Linked DNA regions of Sus scrofa. The protein of the gene in region 2 interacts with the protein of the main gene of each other region in a pairwise test. Links are inferred from orthologs where the notes say so. Each region holds a gene or a part of one and is shown on either strand. Other genes may lie near its edges.

The links.
Region 1: the proteins of TEAD4 (region 2) and CCDC172 interact in binary tests that used the Homo sapiens proteins (3 or more experiments, as listed by UniProt). The two-hybrid records come from large-scale screens. The link is inferred for Sus scrofa from reciprocal best matches to the Homo sapiens genes TEAD4 and CCDC172.
Region 3: the proteins of TEAD4 (region 2) and SSX2IP interact in a two-hybrid assay, tested with the Homo sapiens proteins (2 studies listed by BioGRID). The two-hybrid records come from large-scale screens. The link is inferred for Sus scrofa from reciprocal best matches to the Homo sapiens genes TEAD4 and SSX2IP.

Annotation. Positions count from the first base shown.
Region 1 is NC_010456.5:126,548,067-126,551,817, reverse strand, and holds the start of CCDC172 (coiled-coil domain-containing protein 172), read right to left. Parts: upstream 2,707-3,751; 5' UTR 2,354-2,706; intron 2,197-2,353; 5' UTR 2,132-2,196; coding exon 2,053-2,131; intron 1,861-2,052; coding exon 1,775-1,860; intron 1-1,774.
Region 2 is NC_010447.5:67,164,667-67,168,405, forward strand, and holds the start of TEAD4 (transcriptional enhancer factor TEF-3), read right to left. Parts: upstream 2,914-3,739; 5' UTR 2,889-2,913; coding exon 2,663-2,888; intron 1-2,662. UniProt on the Homo sapiens protein: Transcription factor which plays a key role in the Hippo signaling pathway, a pathway involved in organ size control and tumor suppression by restricting proliferation and promoting apoptosis.
Region 3 is NC_010448.4:129,087,085-129,090,735, reverse strand, and holds part of SSX2IP (afadin- and alpha-actinin-binding protein), read right to left. Parts: intron 2,798-3,651; coding exon 2,687-2,797; intron 408-2,686; coding exon 272-407; intron 1-271. UniProt on the Homo sapiens protein: Belongs to an adhesion system, which plays a role in the organization of homotypic, interneuronal and heterotypic cell-cell adherens junctions (AJs).

The DNA.
Region 1 (3,751 bases), on a different chromosome or scaffold from region 2:
GGATTAATGATGATACCTCATCACAGGATTCCTGGCAGGATTAAAGGAATTAATACAAGTAAAGCATTTAGAACAGTGCCCAGCATACAGTAAGTGCTCAATAAGTGTTAGCTATACATTACCTCATTGCATATGTTTTGCCTATTATACTAATTTATAGTTTCCAATCCCGAAAGTATCTTAATTCTTTTTAAGGAAAAATTTAAGCTAAATCATAACATTCTTAATGCTTTCTTCATGCCATAAGCTTTCAGTGTTGCTGGTAGCAGCTAGTTTATCTGCTACTCACAGGCAAAACAGGACCAAGAGTTTCACTGAATAATATTTCCAAATTCTATTTTAAAAGACAACACTCTCCATATTATCTCCCTATGAGTACTCATTAATTTATTCAAAACACTAATGTATACTATGTGCTAGGCACTGAATACAGGCTGTAGGAATAAAATTAATGGTTAAAAAAAAAAATTCTAGGAGTTCCCTGGTGGCTCAGTGGGTTAAGGATCTAGTGTTGTCACTGCTGTGGTACAGGTTCAATCCCTGGCCAGGGAATATCCGCATGCTATAGCCATGGCCAAAAAATAAAATAAAAATTAAAAAATCCAAATATATTGCTCACAAGATAATAAGGGATATGAACACAAGTATGTACTGTTTAGTTGTGGTACCCCGAATGCTATGATAAAAAATTTTTCCAAGATGTACAAGGGAGGGCTCATGGTGAAGTTGAAACAAGTCTTGAAAGGAAGAAGAGAAGAAGCCTGCCAGGTGGAGAAAGAATCTATGATTATTTTAAACAAAAAGAGAACAGAAAATTTCTCACAGTGGTAAGTCGATTTGACTTATTTTAGCAAAGAGACTTTCTCAAACAGATTTCCCATTGCACACTGCAGCAGAGTTTATCTTTAGGAGTTGAATAAATATTTTTGTATGACAGTCTGCCCCTACCCATAGTGAGGCCTTTATTGTGACATATTTGGATGATGTTCTTAGTTCCCATTCTCCCAGAGCTCAGAGAGAGCTTCCTAAAGCCACTTTTATCACACCATTCCCTGATCAAAAACCTACAATGGTTTCCTCCTATTTCCAGATATCAGCCCTCTGCTTTGGGAGATTTCTCTCCCAATATGCCTCAGCCATGTCTCCCTTTGGTTCACATTCTCCCCCTGCTTCAAATGCTTTTCACCTACCACTCTCCTAAATCCTACCCACACTTCAAAATCCTCCCTCAAGAAGTCATCTGATTCCTTTGCTTCTATTTCAAATAACAGATCTTTACAAATGCTGCAGCCAAGTGTGAAACGCTAGTGGGAAAATTATCCTTTTGGATGAAAGACATGTCCAAAATGTGGTAGAGAGTTGAAAAACAAAAGGCAGACACTCATCGGAAAGTTACATTCAACTGTTACATCAACACAGCACACTTCTTAAATTATTTATCACTCAAAATTTATATCCCTTACCAACTACTTATTGAATTATTCTTTTCCCAATGGCATTGTGCTCTTCTGAAACGTTAATCATGCTGCAACACAATGAATTCTTTACTTAAACTGGTTTCTTTAGCACAAATTCTTGTTAGGATGGAAGTTCTGGATTCAGAACTTTATTACCAGACAACATGTAACTACACTAACTGGCATGGTAGCACGCTTCCTATTAAAAAAACAATAATAATAATGGAAGGACAATTAGTTAAACAGTAAAGTATCCTCCAAAAGTCGAGTGAAAACACTTTTTCAAGTGATAATGAGCATGCTGTGTATGTTACTACCTTAGATTCCAACTTGATTTTCTCTTCATTCAGCTCCTCTGCCGCTTTCTTAATATTTTCACGACATCTGTTTATCTCCGACCTCACTGTAAAACAAATGCTTAAACATCCATCCATCTTTCTGGAGTCCCCATTTCAGGGCTTGTGATAAGACACCTTGCAGCTGTCTTCCCCTCGACGTGGAAAGCAGACCCCCTGCTCTGTCCGCGGCCTGGGCATTTCTTTCTGCTCCAAGCCCCCAACCCAAGAAGACCCAGGGCCCCAGGCAAACGCCCGACCTTCTCGCAGCAAGCGGCGACTCTCCTCCGCCCGGTGCTCAGAGAAGATGATGTGCTGAAACAAGGACTCCAGACTCATCTCGGGCCGGGCACCCGCCAATCCCTTTTTCACTCTTAAATATTTTATAACCGAGTCTGAGGATCCTGGAAAGAAAGCACAATAAAGGATTATTCCAGGACAATGCCTAGCTGGGCCTCGCGCGACCTGCGCCCTGCCCTCGCCAAGGGCGGGCCCCACGCGGGCTGACGGGAAGCTCCCAGCGCCTCGAAACGTGCTCCCAGCCCCCGGTTCATCTCTTACGAGGGACAAATCCGCTTTTTTCTCCCCGGCGCCCTCGTTTCGCCTGTGACCTGTCTCAAACTGCTACTTCCCGGGACTGAGCGCAGCCCTCCTCCGCCGAGGCCCAGGAGCCTGGACGGGTTTCTTTATTCTGGCGGCAAAAAAAATGGAGGCCCTAAGGCCTCGGCTTCGGAGTGGTCTGGACGGCAGCCCTTTCTGTGGTCCGCCTTTTCCTTTCAGCCCCCTCCCTTTTAGGGAAAAGGTCCTCAAAATACTCCACCTCTTAGCAAAACCTGTACTTGTAATTATACTGTGGGCTGCAGACCTCGCAGAAGCCCGCGGACAGCGCCTCAAGCTGGCCGGAGCAGATGGGAACTGAAACTACGGCGTCCGGTTGGGTCCACTGCGCATTCGCGTCTTTTGCTTTGCTTTGCTTTGCTTTGCTTTGCTTTGCTTTGCTTTGCTTTGCTTTGCTTTGCTTTGCTTTGCTGTGGCCATGTGGTCCTCAAAGGTCTTAGGCCGAGCTTGGAGTTGGGGTGATCTGTCTCCAAGGATCAAACCCAGGATTATAAAGTACAAAGTACCTGTGATTCTAAATATAGACTTTTGCAAAGTCTTATCCTTTGACGATGGGAAAGATTGCTATAAATGTGCAGTGTCTGACATTCGCCTTAATCATTCCTTTGTAATCAGGGCAGATCTTTTTTGTCTGCTTTAAAATTAATCATTGCCTTTTGTAATCAAGCTGCAGTAATATTAACACTACAGTATCTGCGCAATATGTGTCAGAGACCAAAGTGGTTGCTAATTAAAGCTTAAACATGAAAGGCACCTTTGGGACTTTGATATGGGATTTTTTTAAATTAAAAAATAAAATACTTTTAGTTTTAACAGAACAAAATATTAAGAGTATAATAAACATTTGACTTTGTATCTTAATGTTAAATTGACATTGGCTAAACTTTTAAAATGTATTTAGTATTAAGCAAAAAAAAGATAAATATAAATTCTGTCACATCAGTATAATAAACTTAATTAATATTTTATTAATGCTGTAGCATAATCAGTTAGAAATGTTAACCTTTTCAAATTTCCTCTTAAATTTCTGTCAAGCCATGTATACAGAAAACTTAATTTTTAAACTTTATTGTGAAAGAATACATACTGAAAAGTGTAATGAAGTAGAAAAGAATTGCCCATAAATTGCCCATTCAGAAGCAAATATTAATAACATTTTGATTATTGTTCTTTAAGTAATCTTCCTCACCTTGCATTTTTTTCTTTACAAATATATTGTGATGAAGTAATAATAATTGTTGTTATTTATTGAGTATTTGCCAGATACCAATCCTTTTGAGATGATTTTTACTACAACCTTCATAGAATAATTGAGGAAACAGGCACATATCTTGCCAAAGC
Region 2 (3,739 bases):
CATCCACCTGTCACCACTAAGAAAAAGGGACGCATCCGCCCAGATATCCATCAGCTGGGTGAACGGATAAACACCACCGGCTCGTGCGTACAGTGGAAGGTGATTCAGTCTTAAAAAGGAAGGACATCCTGACACCTGAAATGACACGGAGGAACCCTGAGGACATGATGTCAGGTGAAAAAGCCAGCACAAAAGGACAAATACTGTGTGATTCCATGTATATGAGGGCCCTGGAGGAGCTCTAGCCAAAGCGGTAGACTGGATGGCGGGTACCAGGGACTGCGGGAGAGGGACCTAGGGGCCAGTGCTGAGCGGGGACAGAGTTTCAGTTGGAGGGAATGAGAAAGTTCTAGAGACGGGCAGTGGGGATGGCTGCTCAACCACAATGTGAACGTACTTAATGCCACTGAGCTGTACACTTAAGAATGGGTAACAAAGAAACAGTGGGTCCCACTGTGGCACGCGAGGACTGTCTGCTGGCTCTCCAGACCTGCCACCACCGGGGCCTCCCCAACAGGCAGCACCCTCAGCGTTCTCCCCACACCGAGCGCCTCGAACACAATTGTATTTGCCAGGCCATGTGTCCTTTTAAAGCAGGAAGATCAATCCTGCTAGGCGCCTGGGCACTGACCACTGCCCCATCAAGGGACCCTGATTTCTCCAGCCACACCCCCGCCACGACGTCACCGTCACACCTCAGCTCATGACCAACACGCACCCCACTCTCCATCAAGCCGTGGAAGAGCCCAGGCCACCCAGCTCCACGGGAAGAGCCTACCTAAAGCAGGTCCCACCCCTGGCACCCACAGCTGCTCTGCGCACAGCGGCTGCCTCTTCCGTGAAGCTTCCATGGGGACCCAAAGTAAGAAGCAACCACTGGAGCAGGACGTGGTTAGAGCAAGGTGCCAGGGGAGCCCAAACCAGGGCGTGGAGACCCGCAGAAGTGGGGGCCCCGCAGAGCCTCAGCGGAGGGGCTGGTAAAGTCGGATGAGCAGCTGTAACAGGTAACCGAGGAGCAGAGCTGGGGTCTAGCTCGAAAGGACCTTGCTTCCTCCAGCAGGAGAAGGAATCCCTGCCCTTGCAGGGCAGGTGCAGATTAAAGACAAGCAGGTGGGGCTGGCTCCCTAGACCAGTCACAAAGCAGATTTGAGTTTAGTTAATTGAACAGAGTGGAACAGCGCCCGCCGCCCCCAACATTCACATCCATCCAGAACCTCAGAATGTAATCGTATCTGGAAATGATCTTTTTTTTTTTGGCCTTGCCCATGGCATCTGGAAGTTCCTGGGCCAGGGATCAAAGCCACACTACAGCAGTGACCCAAGCTGCTTCAGTGACAACACTGGATCCTTAACCACTAGGCCAGCAGGGAACTCCAGGAAACAGGGTCTTTACAGAATTAACTAGCTAAGATGAGGGCACACTGGATTAAGGGGGGCCTTATATCCAACGACTGGTATCTTAGAAGAGGAGGACACACAAAGACAGACAGACAGGACGGCCATGTGACAACAGAGTCTGAGACCAAAGTGCTACAGCTACAAGCCAAGGACACCAAGGGCCTCCAGCTGCCCCCAGAAGCTGGGAGGGGGCACAGATCAGATCCTCCGGCAGAGCTTCCAAGGGGAGCCAACCCCCAGCACCCTGAGTTCAGACCTTCAACCTTCTGACTCGGGAGAGGATACATGTCTGTCATCTTAAGGCAGCCCTGAAATTCGAGGTGGTTTTTTACAGCAGCCCTAGGAGCTGAGATCAGTCAGCTGATGAGGCATCTGTGCTGGGGGAGGGGCACCCACGTGGGGGTGGGCACTGGCCCAGAGCCATCTCATGGGAAGCAGGGCAAGACCCTCTGTGGACAGGGGCTTCAGCCAGTCAGAGATCCCCACAGCTCCTACCCAGTCCCAGTGTTTCAGGCTGGGGGTCCCAGGGAACTTTCCAATGGCAATGGAAGCCTGAACGGAGCCTCTAAAAGTTGTTCCGTGTTCATTTTGCTTCCCAGATACCCTCTCTTCCATCCCAAAGTCAACACAGCCCAGGCAGACGGCTCGTTCCTTCCCAGGGTCTGCGGGACAAAGTGCCTCTGTGTCCTGCATTGACAATGACGCAGAGGGCGTGTGGAGCCCCAGACCACGCCTTCCCTGATGGCTCTCAGCTAAGGGGCACACTCCTGCAGGGGGGTGGTCCTCACCCCCCCCCAACCCCGGGACACTCTCAACGCCTTGTGTACAGTTACCTGTATGCCCACCCCCACGTACCATGAGAAGGGACTAGATCTGCCCCGCCCCTGCCTGGCACACCAAAGGCCCAGGTATGAATGAGGGAGTGAACCAGGACCGCCTTCCTAAAGGCCTTCACAGCCACAGTGGGAAGCTGGGAGATCAGGCATCTGCCTGGGGGGTGGCTAAAGGGATTTTCCCAGCCTGCCCCGGGGGGATGTTCTAGGCTTTCCCAAGTTCCATCCTCACAGCCACCCAAAGGTGTCTCCCCTGATGCCTCCCAGCCCTTGGGAGCCTAGGACAGAGTAAAGCAGCGTCTGCCAGGACAAGCCCCAAGAGGTCACCTCTTTCCATCACTTGGAGGGAACCGGGTTGCTGTGCCCAGGCTGTTCCTGGGGCTGGACCATGAGCTGGCGGGCCTGCTGCCCAACACTGACAGCCTCCTTACCGTACATCTTGCCCTCATCCGATAGGATGATCTTGCGCCGACCGCAGGGCGGGTAGATGGCCAGGGCCTCCTGGAAGCTCTGCTCGATGTCGGGGCTCCACACGCCCTCTGCGTCATTGTCAATGGGCTTGTCCAAAGCCTGGCTGCCCCCAGAGACGTTGCTCCCCTCGGGGGAGTTGGGAGAGCTCCACTCGTTGGAGGTAATGGTGCCGGCCTTGCCCTCCAAGGCTCCGCTTGGAGGAGCGCCCGTTGGACCTGGGTGGGCAGAAAGCACAGCATTGGTGGATGAACGTGTGGACAAGGGGGTGGGGGAACCCAGGGAGCACCACCCCTGAACCAGGTGCTTCTCCTTTCCTGGTGCTCATGGCCCAGGAGCTCAAGGGGAAAGCCAGGGAATCCCATGGGGCAAAGAGTGAGGTGGGCGGGGCAGGGCGGGGTGGGGAGGGGCTGGTCAAGGGCAGGTCATCTCCCCTCCACAGACCTCAGCTCCCCACCCCATCAAAGGAGCTCAGCAACCAGGCACTGTCTGATTGTGGCTCTAGGAACCCAGATGGGGCTGAGAAGTTAGATGAGGGCCAAGTACCATGGATGTTCTACATTAGACCAAAAAGGGCCAAGAGCATACAAAATACTGTGCTCTGTTGGTGGGAATGTAAAATGGTGTGACCGCTAGGAAAACAGCATGGAGGGCCAACCAAAAAATCAAAGAGAATGACCATAGCACCTAACAATTCCACTTCTGAGTATATACCCAAAAGAACTGGAAGTAGGGTCTCAAAGACACTCATGTTCAAAGCAACATTATTCACCACAGCCAAGGGACAGAAGAACCCAAGTGTCCATGGACAAATGAATGGCTAAATAAAATGTGGTCTCTACGTATAGTGGAGTGTTATTCAGCCTTAAAAATGAAAAAAAAATCTTTTTGTTTGTTTTTTAGGGCCACCCTGCAGCATATGGAAGTTCCCAGGCTAGGGACTGAATCAGAGCTACAGCTGCAGGCCTACACCACAGATACAGCAATGCCAGATCCTAGCCATGTCTGTGACCTATACTGTAGCTTGTGGCAACATCAGA
Region 3 (3,651 bases), on a different chromosome or scaffold from region 2:
TTTCTCTATGGATTAATCCTATACCTGTCACATTAAAAAAAAGTATGCAATTCCTATATGCAAGTAATGGAGCAAAGCAAAATTATTATTTTTTAACTAACCAGTTGTCTCAATTTCTAGTTTATATGGATATAGACCATCTAAAATTATTTGTATAGAGCATGAAAAGGACATTTCATGAGTTATTGAGCTCAATCCCTCCACATTTATTTCTTTGTGTAATACTAGCTTATTTATTCCCTTTGCACTATCTTAGCCAGCTGCTTCTTACCTATTTTTTTATCCTTCTTGTTCATAACAAGTTGATGTAGACGTTCCTTTAGTTTATTATATTCACGCTCTTTTCTCTTCATGTCATGATTATATTGAGTAGCTCGACTTGCAATGATATTTTGTAATTTTTGCACCTAGAAAAAAGGCATTTTATATTGAATTAGTCCCTTGAGAATTCACTGGTAAACCCAGTTCCAATGTACAAATTCAAAAGAGAAAGTAAAGTCCTAGCTTTCAGCTCCTCATGTAATAGTTTAAAAGTTCTAGGATTATTCTTCCTTCTCCATAACCACTGGAAATCACTCTTTAAAATATCACTAAATGAGGAGTTGCTGCTGTGGTGCAGTGAGTAGGGAGTCCAGCTGCAGCAGCTCAGGTCACTGCAAAAGTACACGTTTGCAGCTGTGGCATGGGTCATGGCTGCAGCTTGGATTCTGTCCCTGGTAGGGAACTTTCATGTGCCTCAGGTGCAGCCATAAAGTAAGAAAGTAAAGTAAATAAATATCATTAAATGAAGCACATAAAGTTTTTATTTTTTAATTCTGAAATTTTCAGAGCTGCTAGCTTTCTAAATTATCTTCTACACCTTTCACCTTACATACAGATTCTGATCACTTAGAAACCACAAACTCTTACAAAGTAGTAATGTGATTAAAGCTTCATCTGAAACAAGCAGACTTCATCTGATCATCTGTAAGGACCTTATTTTACTTCAGACATGAATCGTTTCATCCTTTATCAATCTGTGACAAGGTCAATTAGTCATGGCACATGGAAGCAAGTAAACAGGTTCATTTTCCTCTGATCAAAAATAGTTTTCTGGGGAGTTCCCATTGTGGTGCAGTGGAAATGTATCCAACTAGTGTCCATAAGGATGCAGGTTTGATCCCAGACCTTGCTCAGTGGGTTAAGGGTCTGGCGTTGCCATGAGCTGTGGTGTAGGTTGCAGATTCGGCTCGGATCCCATGTTGCTATGGATGTGGTGTAGGCCAGCAACTGCAGCTCCAATTCGACCCCCAGCCTGCGAACTTCCATATGCCAGGGGTGACGCCCTAAATAAATAAATAAATAAATAATTTTCAAATTAGACTGAGACCAACAGCATACAGAATCCATTTCAGATATTTGCTGAGTACCTATTCTATGCTAGGTACTACTGGTCAATGTTTATATCTATTATGGCTTCTCAGGCAGTGTTGGATAGGAAGTAAGTTCTACTCTACATAGCCACTCTTTGCAACATACACAACAATGAAAACAAATGTTACAGTTTTACAGTTATGTGGTCAGAAAACTGCAGAGCAATAAAAACAATGGTTTCTATTTACATAAATTAAAAGATAATTCCAAAAGCATTATCTATATAGATCTGAATAATACTAAGTAAACACCAAAGCAAATATTAGAATTACAATGTCTTTAGCCAAGAAATGAAAATTTTTTTTTTTGGTTTTTAGGGCTGCAACCATGGCATATGGAAGTTCCCAGGCTAGGGGTTGAATTGGAGCTGTAGCTACCAGCCTACAGCACAGCCATGCATGTCTGTGACCTTCACCACAGCTTATGGCAAGGACAGATCCCTGACCCAGTGAATGAGGCCAGGAATCGAAGCCACATCCTCATGGATACTAGTTAGGTTCATTACCACTGAGCCACAACAGGAACTCCAAAATGAGATTTTTTTTTTTAATGTGAGTTGCTTTTTTTAAACAATAATTTGTGTGCCCATTTAGTCAAATAATTGCCTGACTGGATGAACAATAACATTTAAGACAGTGTAAGAAGAGGCATGCTAGACATAAGAACAGATGTGACAGAGAATAAAATACCTGCATTGAAAGCAGACCCTTACATCTAACAAAAAAGGGACAGTTCAAGTGGATACAGGATGGATGGTATAGAACACTGGCTGTCACCAGCTATGGACTAATACACTAAGCCAAATGGACCCCCCCAACCATGTCATGGAGAGAGTTCCTGACCTCTCAGTTAAATATGATACAATACTGGGAGTTCCCGTCATGGCGCAGCGGAAAGGAATCCGACTAGAAACCATTAGGTTTGGGGTTCGATCCCTGACCTCGCTCAGTGGGTTAAGGATCTGGTGTTGCCATAAGCTGTGGTGTAGGTCGCAGATGCAGCTTGGATCTGGCATTGCTGTGGCTGTGGTGCAGGCTGGCAGCTGTAGCTCTGATTGGATCCCTCGCCTGGGAACCTCCATATGCCCGCAGGTGCAGCCCTAAAAAGCAAAAAAGAAAAAAGATACAACACTGTACACAGAAGTCCAGCATCTCCATTTGACACAGGATAAATAAATGGTTCGCTCTTAAAGTGAAGTGACCATTATGATCACCTCAAATTACACACACATAAAAATTCACTGAAATTTTATCCATAATAACTGACAACTTACCTCGTCTTTCTCATTTTTCAGTAGCTGATGCAAATTCCTATTCTTGCACTGTAACTGTCTATCTCTTTCCTGAAGCCCAATCACTTCTCTCCTGGAGGTTTCCAGTTGTTCCTAAAACATTCATATGCAATTTTGATTAGTAAAAAGTCATACACACTAGGATTTGTTACCTAAAATTGAAGTTTAGCAGCACACGAAATGTTTATTTAAAACATTGTAAAGTTTGACACTACAGAGTTGCAAAATTTAACTTTGGATATAAAATTTTATTTCATTTAAATACCATTTTTTTTCTTTTTTGTGTCTTTTTAGGGCCGCACTCGTGGCATATGGAGTTCCCAGGCTAGTGGTCCAATCGGAGTTGTAGCCTCCTGCCTACGCCAGAGCCACAGCAACACAGAATCCGAGCCGAGTCTGTGACCTACAGCACAGCTCACGGCAACGCTGGATCCTTAACCCACCGAGCAAGGACAGGGATTGAACCCGCATCCTCATGGATGCGAGTCAGGTTGGTTGACCACTGAGCCACAACGGGAACTCCTTTAAACACCAATTTTTAATGTATGCACAAAAGACCTTCAGAGTGGATTCCTTGAAAGACTTTTCAACTATTCCAGTGATGTGGCCCCTGAACATTTTTATAATTTCTTTTTACTACTTTTTAACACTTCCACAGCACATTCTGTGAAAGAGCCAACAATGATTTGGAGTTCAGTCTGAAGAAGACAGGCGACCATGCAAAGCCGACCACTTCAGGTCAAAAAGGACGGGACCTCAGCATGACATCAGTTCTGCCTTGCAAGGGGTAAACTCTCAAGATTTCTGCTAGAGATCAATGGCAGAATCAATGGACTCAACATGGGATTAAGGTGCTCATTTCAGTGCATTCCACACACTTCTGGAGGAACTGGGCCAAATTCTGCATGAAGCTCCTGGAGTAATCTTTTAAAATTCTCTCACCTTTA